2 linked regions of the Danio rerio genome follow. The protein of the gene in region 1 binds, or shares a complex with, the protein of each later gene. Links are inferred from orthologs where the notes say so. Each region holds a gene or a part of one and is shown on either strand. Other genes may lie near its edges.

Evidence for each region.
Region 2: the proteins of farsb (region 1) and farsa are in contact, whole or in part, in a crystal structure (PDB 3L4G), measured with the Homo sapiens proteins. The link is inferred for Danio rerio from reciprocal best matches to the Homo sapiens genes FARSB and FARSA. Residues at the interface, in NP_005678.3 of Homo sapiens: Glu26, Phe29, Gly32, Leu33, Pro68, Ala69, Asn70, Ile150, Arg152, Asp259, Thr261, Lys262, Arg305, Lys316, Lys317, Val318, Gly319, Ile359, His360, Cys362, Asp363, Glu366, Ala369, Ile370, Tyr374, Asn375, Ile377, Gln378, Met379, Thr380; in NP_004452.1 of Homo sapiens: Ser221, Gly222, His223, Leu224, His225, Leu227, Leu228, Arg231, Ser232, Arg235, Leu239, Gly242, Phe243, Thr244, Glu245, Pro247, Asp249, Asn250, Phe251, Ile252, Glu253, Ser254, Phe263, Gln266, Gln267, Phe277, Phe278, Leu279, Arg280, Asp281.

Annotation. Positions count from the first base shown.
Region 1 is NC_133190.1:45,134,867-45,141,757, reverse strand, and holds the start of farsb (phenylalanine--tRNA ligase beta subunit), read left to right. Parts: upstream 1-2,528; 5' UTR 2,529-3,007; intron 3,008-3,833; exon of another isoform or gene 3,834-3,938; intron 3,939-6,891.
Region 2 is NC_133178.1:12,428,161-12,434,262, forward strand, and holds part of farsa (phenylalanine--tRNA ligase alpha subunit), read left to right. Parts: coding exon 1-66; intron 67-1,009; coding exon 1,010-1,138; intron 1,139-2,476; coding exon 2,477-2,592; intron 2,593-2,686; coding exon 2,687-2,771; intron 2,772-3,577; coding exon 3,578-3,677; intron 3,678-3,958; coding exon 3,959-4,127; intron 4,128-5,023; coding exon 5,024-5,101; exon of another isoform or gene 5,102-5,467; intron 5,468-6,102.

The DNA.
Region 1 (6,891 bases):
TAATCAAAAATTATTTTAATGAAGTCTGCGAAATTGTCGCAGAAGATGCAACAATATATCATTTATTACCCTTGGTCCGGACCAAATGAGGCGAACTACAGACGTTAAAGCACCCTTAAATACAGCCCTTCAGAAACACAAGATAATCCATTCACTACACTCCAACGATATGGTAAGATTTATAATTGAATTAATACATATTAAACCTCTTTAACATTAATAGAAGCTGTTTCTAAATTAGAAATTTCAAGGACAAACACTCCTTTTAATATGAAAAATATTTATTTTATCGCGCTGTTGATTTAAGAAGCGGAGTATGCTCGATAGACAGGAACGCTCCTATTGGTGTCCTCAATCTGGCAGCCTGCGCTCGCGTGGAGTCGTCAGAGGAGGGGCTGAGTGAAAATGTGTTTTGAACCAGGAGTGCAATACCTAGTTCAACCACTGGGTGTCAAACTTTCATACTGCACCTTTAAGAATTTTTCACTATTTGGACTAGAAACAAGACGAAGTAAGAAAGTGTTTTGTTTTTTGCAGTGAATGACTTGCACGGCCTTACCGTGTGTGTTGGACTTGTGCATTTTCCTCTGGAGGTTTGACAGCTGGCGAATGGGGCGGCTGGTTGTGGAAGGACATGGGCCGAAGATTCATTGCCACGCGATCCACCCAGATGGGGCTGCTGAAGTCGGGCAGCAGGTCAGAGTCATTGAAGGGCTCCAGGCCATGGTCGGCGAGGGACTGAGGGATGCTGGGAGTGCTGCTGGAGCGGGTGCTGGTCTCTGAGTTGCGGTGTTCTGGTTTTCCGGATGGCGTCCTGCGGGTGCAGTACGTCTGTTTGCTGGACAGACGGAGCGAGCGGGACATGTGTTTTCGAGACAGTTGCCGCTGACCGTCTCCATAATAGCCATGGCCACCGCTGTGACTCTCTGCATTACCCATGACTCAAAATCTGCAGCAGACAGATAAAAAAAAAAAATTCAAAGGGGGGCTAATAATTCTGACTTCAACTGTATGCTGAGCACTGTATATAATTCTGATATATTTCTTTCTTCTAACACTAGATTTAATACAGAGTGCACTTCATTAGGTCTGAGTAGGCCTGGGCGATTTGGCAAAAAGAAAAAATCTAGGTTTTTTATAAAGTCGATTCAGGATTTCGATTTTTTTATTGTGTTACTAGTCTTCTCAAAACATTACAACAACATGACTGAAGTAACATTCTCTTTAAAAGTAACATGAAAAACCATCTGGTTAAGGAACTTTGTATTTTTAATGGCCATGCCATACAAAAAAAAAATCGGTCAAATTGTAAATAAATGTAAAACAAATTCACGAGTTAAAAAGCGTTGCTGAAGATTTGAATAAGAAATATTTGTGTAAATACTGCAGTTGCAGGAATACAGAGGTATTTTTTGCAAGATTTGCTGAGCCTAGGAAAGATTGGCTGTCAGCTCTGCTTTGATTTTGTCTTCTGATTAAATGACAGGTTGTAATGCTGCTGCCTTTTTTTTTTTAAAGATACAGTGGAAGAAAAGGACTGAACATGGAAACTGTAAAGCCTAATTTAACCCAATGTGTGAAGTTGTGGACGTATAGCAGGAGCAAATAAAAGTACCAGATGTGTCTGATATAAAATAACATATTTAATAAATTTTTATTGTTCCCCCTTTTAAATACCGATCATTTGATGCGCTTTGCTCCATTCTCTGTATTATGCTGCCTGATCTGTCTGGTTTTCAACTACAGGGCTCGAAATTGCGACCATTTTGGTCGCATATGCGCCCAAAAATTAATCTATGCGACCTCATAATATATATGGGAGCATTAGTGTGACTACAGATAATGGTTGTAGTGCGACCTGTTTGGAATTTTTATAAAAACGTGCTGAATCGCTCTTCCTTGCCGCTATATTGGTTTATATAAGCTGTCAATCACTCAAGGTATTCCGCTGTCAGATGACAGGGAAGGAGCTTTTATGAACACGGGAAATGCAAACGGCTAAACAGTGTAAACTTAAAGCACACAGGTTTGCAAACCCCACCTAAAGTTGAGGCGCAGAGGAGAGCGATCATGACATGTGGTGAATATTGATCCGCCAGCTGAGATCAATCAAGTACGTGTTTTCGGAGAAGGAGCCTGAATCTCGATGCGTTGCTTTCACTGCGTGTTCAGCGCAAATGTCCGGTAAAAGTCAAATCTAATACTGTACAAAAAATATCATCGCCGTTACTAAGTTTACACTGAAACTGCGGCTCATAACAAACAGCGGTTGCGCCAGTGGTCATCGCAAGAATCCTGCTCAACCTGCTCATATATTGGGTCGGCTGACTCGCCTGCTTTTCCACTAACACAGAAAAATGAAGATCAGCTCAGACTGAACATTTAAATTGACACAAACTGAAACCAAAACTTTTAAAGAGTGATAGAAGTGAGACTTTACTTACTTTCTTTTGTCTATTCTTTCTTAAGCTGTATATTATTATTTTTTATTACGTTACTGATGACTGCTTTGCAGCTTTCAGCCTTGAATTGAATGATTTATTATAATCTTTTGTTTGTTTTGTAGCAGAAATATTATTTATCAAACTGACATGCATATATCAACAGCAGTACAAAATAAATATTTTTTACTGCAATGCTTCATTTTTAATTGATGCAAACTAAACATTTATTTTTCATAATTCATTCAAGCACATTTAAGGTCGCATGATGATAACAAATGTAATTCATTGTTACTATTATTGTCATTTTCATTATCATTAATATTTTATAATTATTCGACATTCATTTTGGAATTATTGCACACAAATATCAATGTCATCTAAGCATTAGTTAGATAGTTGTTTCTGGTTTTTCTTAGTCCTAATTGATGTTGTTTTAAAATACAATAAATCCCTTAAAATACAATTTGCAGCGGTGCTCAATCATTTTTGGTGGGTGCTCCTAAATTTTTTCTGGTGCTCCTAAATTTTTGAAGTTGGAAGCACCGGTGCTACCAAGTAAAAAAGTTAATTTCGAGCCCTGAACTAGGTCCGCTAAATGACGTCATGGGGGCGGGTACTTTCATTTTCTCTGCTACAGGCCCTCACCTCTACTCGTGTTCAAACCAAAAGATCGGCACTGTTTTTCACATGGCAGGGTTTTAAGTGCTTCATACATGTTGAGATCGAGTTTATCGACTTGATGAGGGAATATGTCTTGACAATCCACACAGACATAACTCAGACTAATGCAATGATTAAAATCCTACATGACTTCACGCTTTAACAGGCAGTCAACAGGTCGCACACGGCGCGCACATGACAGTTTAAACTATAACACACCAGACGTGCGCATTCGCATGATATTTAACATGAAACGAATCTGATGGCGCTCTGTGGCGTGGCTAAAATATGATATGCGTTGTGAATCATGGCTGGGCGGCTCCAGTGTGTATAGAAACCTGTTTAGAATTCTAAAATCCATGGGGCTGTGTGGTGCTGCGTGTCGCCGAGAGGCGCTTCTGGTGTGCTTCCTGCTTCATACAGAGAAGGAACCAAAGCGCATTGGTGCCATTATAATGTATTAAATATATTTTTGAAAAATCACGATTCTCGATTTAATATAAAATAAAATCATCGTCAAAACGTAAATTTGAATTAATCGAAAAAATCGCCCAGCCCTAGGTCGGAGTCTGTTTCTCATTGTTGTTGTCTTTTTTTCTGTACAACACTTTGCTTCGACACTAAAAGTGCGTTAAAAATAAATCGAGTTGAGTTCTATTCATGTATGAGTTTCTCACAAGATTATTTGCTTTCTCTGATGGCTGATACATCCTGTGTCAGTTGTATTACCTGCGGTGTTGCAATGACTTCACAGTCATGACGGATTTCACTCTGCATACAGATCAGCTCCTAACACCATACTCTCTTCACTGCATTATAGGTCACTTACAAACTCTGAAAAACAAACAAACAGAAAGCAAGAGAGTTATACATCTGCTATTTTAAAAGACTCCTAACACAGCAGTTTGTGAGGCAGTACAAGGGGACACACTGTAGTGGGATAAATATAGCTGGAGCGCACAGAAATAAGACAGAATTAGAGCTGAAAGAGCGATTGACGCTGAAGACCACACATGTTCAGTCGCTCTGGACACATTCAACAAACGCAAGATGATGGACTTGACTTTGAGCCGCTAAATAGGAGCCTGAACTTGTGTGTGTGTGTGGTCACAGAGAGAGAGAGAGAGCTAGAGATCAGCCTGTGGTTACTGCTGCCGCCAATAAACCACAGCATGAATGGAAATATACACACAGCTAAAGCCAAAAGAGACATTTTTCATAAGATTTAAGAGGAGATGGTTAAAACACACTTCGGCTGCTAATGAATAGCATGCTAGCTGGTAAAGCGACTCGAGTAAAAACAAACACCGCAGACATTTATAAGCTGTGGATAAACATGTACTAAATTTCCTGACACAAACTAATCTGAAGGCATTCAAACTGCATGAAACACAAAGAACTCGCTGTAGTGAGATTTGATGATGGGGAAGTTAAAAGCTCCACCGTATCGCCTCATAGCGAGTGTTTTGACCACTTAAAAGTGATTGCTCAATGTTGTAAACAGACTTCTGGAGTGTTATTCACATGAAAATACTACAGGGTGTCACGGTCTAGATAAGAGAGAAAATTGGTCAGACACAGGTGCAGGTCTCAACAAAGTTTATTTAATTAAATAAATTAATTTATTTTAAAGCCAAAATTTAGCCAACATAAAAGTCTTCAAAAAGGAAACGAAAAATTACTCCGTAATGGAGCTGGCATAGAGGCCCAAAGTTCACAAAAACTCAAAAACTTAGACGTTAGCAAATAAAGACTTCAAAAATTATGAAAATAAAACTACTCTGAAGAGGCTGGAGGAACGGTCTTCAAGAGGGTGCAATACCCTGATTCCCGACAGGGGGCGGTGAATCCGGCCTCCGCTGTCTGGAACAGAGCGGCCACGTGGAAGACTGATGCTGTGTTCACACCAGACGTGGTACACGCGGATAAATCGCGCTATTCGCGCGTAAATAGCCGCGTGAACATTTGAGTTTACTCGCTTCATTCGCGTGTCAACCCCCGCTTCATTGGAGCGTCAAATCCGCTTCAAACGCGTGTCAAATTCACTTCAAAACAGACGCGGATACGCAAGATGGGCAAGGCTTCTGTCTGCCCGGTGACTCTAGCTTCATAGCTAAATGGCTAACATGAATTTTATTAAGAAAATAACAGTGTTAATGTGCTTTATGGAGACTGAAAAACAGCGTCGATACGTTTAGGGTCCTGTCTGAGTCCACTGCATCCTTTCAGAGGTGCATCCAGCTCTGTGAGCTCATAAACTCCTACTCCTATTCGCACCGCGCCATTCGCGTGTATCGCGCCGCAGGATGTCTATTCGCGCGTTTGCTTTGACTTAACATGTAAATCACTCGCGCTTGACGCGTGTTCCGCGTCTGGTGGGAACGCAGTATGAGGCTGAAGCCTCCTTTCCACTGCACACGACAAACGACAAGCGACAGACCGGAAGTCATTCATTTCCAATGGAGAACTGTAAGGGAGCTGCGTAGAGTTACGATCATCTCCGTGTGAGGAAAATTTGGATCCGAATTGAGCTGCGGATCCGTCAAAATATTTGAACTCCTGCGACTAGACCGCATGCGACCTGCCGACCGGATATGATGTATTCCATTGTTGTCTAAACAGATCCGTTAGAGGATCCGTTAGAGGAGTTTTTTTGGTTATTTTTCGAATTATAAAAAGTCTATATTAAAACAAAAACTTTTCTGTTCATAAATGCAAATAAGAAAGTAATAAAAATATACATTTTTAATGTCTTCTCCATGTCTTTCTAGTATTCATTCATCTATTAAACCATGTAAACTTATAAAGAATAAAGGCTCTTGCTTTTGCCCTTATTTATTTCGGACACCGTGTGAGAATCAGCTTCTCCCCCGTGGTGCACGATAACACTGAAAATACTGTGCGGCTGCCACAAGGGGGCGTATTCCGACAGTCGTGTCCAAATGTCATGTGCAGTGGAAAGGCGGCTTTAGTCTGAAACTGCATACTTCCATACTATATAGTACGCTAAAATCAGTATGTAAGCCAAGTAGTATGTCCGAATTCATAGAATTCGAAAAACAGTATGCGAGAAGTACCCGGATGACTTACTACTTCCGGTGAGATTCTGGACTGCGCATCTTATTCAGGCTGCGCTATCCCATAATGCCCCGCGAGAGAATTCATGAATGGAAGTGAAGCGACGCAACTGACCTAGGTAGGTCACGTGACCATGACAAAATGGGGGATGTAGTACGTCCGAATTCCATTCATACTTTTCACATTCATACTGTATAGAACGTACTTTTCTATTGGCCGAGTAGTACAATTAAGTTCAAATGCAGTACCTACTGGGTAGTAGGTGGTTTCGGACGCAGCCTAAGGCTTGGAGGCCGGCAAGAGTGAGGGCCGGCTGGATAGAGACGGGGAGTCAGATGGGCAGCAATACAAAAATAGACACTTCACGCAAGAGGTGCCACAGCAATGATTGCAAATAGAAAGGATCTAAGTCACAGCTGAGAAGGGAGAAAAGCTCCAAAATGAAAGATCATTAGTGAAATCAGACCTGGGCCGTGACACATTTCATAAGTGTAAGTGAAAGGTTGTCTCCTTGTTTTCTCCAGCTTGCTAATCATGTATTTAATTGTGTTTTGTTACTTATAACCGCTTGCGCTGTATGTGGTTAACTCTTTATATTTCCATATCGCATCTAATGCCATGGTGAAAACATGACGCGTGCCACTGTATTTACGGATTTAAATGCGTTGGTGAGCTCGCGTTTCACTGCCGTTTGTTGTTGCTACCATAC
Region 2 (6,102 bases), on another chromosome or scaffold:
AGGCAACAGCTTCAGTACCACCATCACCAAACAGGAGACCGAACTGACCCCGGAGATGATCGCCAGGTGAGAGGGAGACCAGTCGCTTTCATTAAGTACAGCATTCCAAAAACACTGCAAATGGAACCTATAATGCTGTGTTCACATCAGACGCTTTATTCTCGCATCAAATTCACTTCACAATAGATGCGGATTTGCATCATGGGCAGGGCTTTTGTCTGCTCGGTGACTCTAGCTTAGTTGCTAAATGGCTAACATGGATTTTATTGAGAATATAACTGCGTTTATGTACTTTGGGAGGATTGAACAACAGCATCGATTAATTTGCCGCTGTGTCTGAGTCAGTTGTGCACCCAGCTCAGTTCATCAACTCCTGCAGAAACTATACCTGGATGATGGAGGCTCTCAGCGGTGCTTTCGACTGAGCCGAGCCCAGTTTGATGTACTGTTGTCCATTGTCGGCAGCAGGATTTCCCCTCGGGACACCAACAACAGGCGTTCCGTCATAATTGCGCTCCTACAAGAGCAAGCTTCTGATTGGTTAACGCAGTGCGAATGTCCACTGAAGATTGTCCAACTCAAACGATTTGTCAAAACTTGCGCCACTTCATTTGCGAGAATCGTGGCATTCATACCGCCTCATTTGCGCAGATCGCGCCGCAGGATATCCATTCGCATTTTGAGTAGACTTAATATGTGAATCACTCGTGCTTGATGCTTCATCCGCATCTTGGGTGAACACAGCATAAAGTTACAGTGTGTACAAGGACAATAAAGTGTGTGGTGCATATGGAAGAAAGTGATTGTGTGTCCTGCAGGTGGTTTGTCAAGCCCACTAACCTGTGTTGTGATCAAAACAAAGTATATATGAATGTTAATTTGAAATGTAAGTCACTTTGGAACCCAAGTCAAAAGCTCTTTCAGGTGAAAAAAAGACTTCTGGATAAAAAATGTTCTGTATATTGTGGTATAGTGCGTAATGTCTTGTTTTTTCTGCTCCGTGTTTCAGTGGGAACTGGAAGGAGAAGAAGTTCAAACCATATAACTTTGAAGCGATGGGTGTTGCTCCAGACTGTGGTCACCTGCACCCGCTCATGAAGGTCCGCACGCAGTTCAGGCAGATCTTCCTGGAGATGGGGTCAGTCCTTCATACTCGCACAACACTCCAAGGAATACTGGATTTGGGCCCAATCCCAATTCTATTTGTTTGTACCCCTACCCCTTTCCCTTGTCCTTTGAAACAGAGTGTGAAGGGGAAGGGCTTCAAATGTACCTCTAAGAAATGAGATGGCACTACTACAACACCTGCACACATTATTATACGTCACTGAGATCTCTTCCTTCATATGAGATCAGTGATGACGACTGCTGTAGTTATTCCAGTTGCTTTATTTTTAGTATTTATCTTCAGGAAATCACCGAAGGCAACAATATCATGTTATCATAACAATTTAATGTGGCAATAAGATTGTAACTGTAATGTGCATTTACACTTTGACCATATTCATCCATGTAAACACAAGAAAACAACATTAACATTATACCAGGAATTGTGTCTTAGGGTGCTTTCACACCTAGACTTTTTGTTTCGGAACCCGTTTCGTTAGCGCAGTTCGTTTGGCATATGTGAATCCACAAACAATCGCTTCAAGATCCCTTGATTGAGGTGGTCTCGGCTCGATTGAAAGGAGCTGATCGATTGTAGTAAGAAATCGATACGATCCGAGCCCGGTTATATCACAGTGTTTTATGGACATGTAATAGGCATACAGCTATATATAGAGAGAATTATGAGTAGGGCGGGAGGTCATTCCAGACATCCCAAGTCTCCTGGAAGTTTTGTGAGTTTCCCGCAAATGAACAGAGACTCCTGGATGCCCGCAAACAAGTGATAATCTCCCAGAAATTATGCGTCTCTCTGCCGGTCCTCAAATACGTCACGCACCCTTCTCTCCCCTGCCCACTGCATCCCTCCTCACTCTTCAGACACGTCGCGCACACCTTGTCAAACACCACCAAGCCACCACTCTGACCAATGTGAGGAGAGTTACACACACGTGACTTGTTTTAGCTACTTTTTTCCATTTAGAAACTTTTGCCGTGTGAAAGCGAACCGCACCAAGTGCAAAGAGCAACAATGTAACAATTTGAATCCCCGTTTCGGAACAACTGAATCGATTCACAGGTGTGAAAGCACCCTTAGGGAGCAATGGTTATACATTTCCTCGAGGGCAGCTTCCACTATCTAATATGATTCCAGCATGTTAAAATACATACACTGCAGGCAGTAGCTTTGTGCAAATTTGTGAGTGAAAGTTCTGAAGCGAAGTAAAGGTTTGGTGTTTGGAGGTAACTAATAGACCACTGAAGGCTAATCATTTACCTCTATAACAATGTTTTGATTCATTTTTTTTTTTTTGTCGGTTTCAAGTCATATTACAAGTATATTCATGAGTATTTTGTCCCTTGTTCACAGATTCACTGAAATGCCCACTAATAACTTCATCGAGAGCTCCTTCTGGAACTTCGACTCTCTGTTTCAGCCACAGCAGCATCCCGCCAGAGACCAGCACGACACCTTCTTCATCTCCGGTGAGAAATTAAGAGTCTGTTCGTCACTCTGCTGGAGTTTAATTGAGAGCACGTGTGTGTTTCTGGTGTTGAAGGGGTTGTTTGTGTTTGTCAGATCCAGCATTGGCTCATGAGTTTCCTCGGGATTATCTGGAGAGAGTGAAGAAAGTTCATTCTGAAGGAGGTTATGGCTCACAGGGGTAAGAGCAGCCATGCTTATGGGTTATTTACTGATTTGCAATGTTTATCTGGGGGTCAGTAAGTAAAAAAATCAATTAATGATGCTTGTATTTAGCAGTTTATATATCCAGAAATAATCAAAAGTGATGGTAAAGTCAATTATAATGTTACAAAAGTTTTTTTTCCTATTGGTTTATTTGTAGGAAATAGAAAAACTATATTACAGTGTTTCCCAACCCTGTTCCTGAAGGCACACCAACAGTAAACATTTTCAACCTCATTCTAATCAAACACACCTGAATGAACTCATAAGAACTTTAGAAGAGACTCCAAAACCTGAAGTGAATGGGTCAGATTAGGGAGACATCTAAAATATGTACTGTTGGTGTGCCTCCAGGAACAGTGATGGGGAAAAAGTATTGAAAAAAGGCAAAAATCATTTGAATATTTAGTAAAGATCATGTTCCATGAAGACATTTAGTAAATTTCCTAACGTAAATGTATCACAGCTTAATCTTTAATTACTAAAATTGCATTGCTCAGAACCTAATTTAGACAACTTCAGGGGTGATTTTCTCAATATTTAGATTTTTTGGAACCCTCAGATTCCAGATTTAAATAATAAAGATACTAATAAAGTTGATTTATTTAGCTTTCATGTAATGTATAAATCTCACTCCAACCCCAAATGTGTGATATAAAATATTTTTTTTACTAATTAATTAACTTCAAGTAAAAAAAGTGACTTTAATTTAAATCTTACACACCCTAAACTTATAAACAGAAATTTATGTCTGTAGTTTTAACATCTCGAATCAATTTTAAGATACAAATACGACTGGAAGATTGAAGAAGCTCAGAAGAACCTCTTGCGAACACACACCACGGCGGTCAGCGCTCGCATGCTGTATAAACTTGCACAGCAGGTAAACACACACACACATGTTGGTTTTGGGGGTTTATACTGCAAAATCCAACTACAACCCAACTCTCATGTGGCTAAATTTTGAATGTCAAAAGACCCCAAATATGATTTTTAACAGTCTTGACTTAGAAGTACACCTGTTATGTCCTTATTAACCCCTTGTCATTGTAATACCTGTGAGATCATACAAATTTGTGTCCTCATAAACCGACAAATCCTGTACACACAAACACACTTGAGTACTGGTTTGACGGCCAATTGTTTCACATTTCATCCTCTCAGGAGAAATTCACACCGGTCAAGTACTTCTCCATTGACAGAGTTTTCCGTAATGAGACTCTGGACGCTACGCACCTGGCGGAGTTTCACCAGATTGAAGGAGTGGTGGCCGATTATGGCCTCACACTGGGAAACCTCATGGGCGTCCTGCACCAGTTCTTCACCAAACTAGGTATGAGACTGCTCGCTTTTAAAACAAGATACACAAGTATAAATCCTATTTAAACAAGTATATAGTTCACTAGTTTCACTTATTAGTTACATCCGTAGTATTTTCCCTACTAGAGAAAATGCCACTTTTTTTAAAAAACGTTTTTCTTAAATTTCTGGAATATTTTCTGTCTGTTCATATGTTTTTGGACCAAAAATATTTTAGACTGGACCTTTAAATGATACAGATTGAAGCTTCAGGTTCTCCTGTTTAAAATAATATATGACATATGACATTACAATAATATCTATCTATATATATATATATATATTAAACAAAATAGCTGTAGGTGTTTAAGGGTCAAGGCATTTCAGAGCCTTTTTTTGGAAAACAATACCTTTATTTACCATACACCATTTTGCACAACTTTGCAGACTGTTTATATTGAAGGACAGTCGTCTTACAAACCCCAAATACTGTGTTTTTTTTTAAGAATAATATGACTAATAGCTCTTTAGAAAGACATCCTGATTTTCTAAGTCATGATATTTACTATACGTTTTACTATAAGCATGGTTGTTTATTGACATGAACTGAAAATGAGCAATACTTCATTATAATGTCAATTAAATCATTTCCTAATTCGTTATTAAAACACAAAGTTATGCTTGTTTACTTTAGTTCATGCACTGATTCGGTTAACACTAATGCTGAATGAATGCATTTTCATTTCCGTTAACAAAGATGAATAAATACTGTAATGTAGTATTCATTGTTCATGTTACTAAATACAATAGCTAACATGCTTAGCTTAACTAATGAAACCTTTTTGTGAAGAGTAAACCTGGTGAATTGCTCAGTGTTGGATGTCTGTGTTTCCTAATTCAGACATATAATTTTCAATTTTTTTATTTCAGGAATTACAAAATTGCGCTTTAAGCCTGCGTATAACCCTTACACCGAACCCAGCATGGAGGTCTTCAGTTATCATGAAGGTAAAATATGGCTATTTACATGTGTAAATGTACATGTGTTTACATTACGAAATTGTTTATAACCTGCATTTTTTCTATGTTTAGGATAACTAATGAAGGCAATAGATATTTTTTTTAAGTGCACATATAATATACTTTCAACTGTCTTTAGTGCGTGATGTTGCTGTTTGAGCTTTAAAGGGGACCCGTTATGTAAAAATCACTTTTATAAGGGGTTTAAACAAAGTTGTGTGGCAACAGCCTGTGAATATAACCAACTTCTAATGCTAAAAATCTAGACATTTTGGTTTTTATAATCACACTTGATAAAAAACAGTCTGCAGAATCACTTTGATTGACATTAGCCCCTTTCACACAGTGATACCGGTAAATTTCTGGAAAATTTCCGGAACGACTTTACCGGTATATTGAAAAAAGCGCTGTTCACACAGGCGAGGATGTTACGGAAATTTTCCGGAAAAGAGCATTCACACATCCATTCCAAAATACCGGTAAATTCTGACATCATTCACCACAAATAAGCTTTAAACGGCTGCGCTTGTATTTGTAAACATTTGACTAAATTACAAACTCTGTGGATGATCAATATTGTGAACAACTTTCGCAGGATCACTTTCACATGTCGAGATGTTCATAATCTGCGTGTGCGGCGCTCATAGGCGCACGCAAAGCTTGAAGGTAAACAAACAACGGCTTATCATAAGCATCTCATCGATGATTATTTACACAGTTGGCATTAAGAAGAACATATAAACGTGATCTGACTAACTTCTAGCAGCTAAATGTGTCTGGAAAAATATTCAAAGGCTTTTATCCTCACAAACCGCGCGGACGTAAATGCGTCTGACTGTTGTGATTGGCTAAAGCAGACGTCTCACGTCAGCACGTTCTAGACGTGCACGCGCTTATTACGGGAATCTTCCTTCTGCGTTCACACAGCGCAGCATTCCGGCAAATTGCCGGTAATGTTACAACTTCTCTTTCCGGGAAATAGCCAGAAC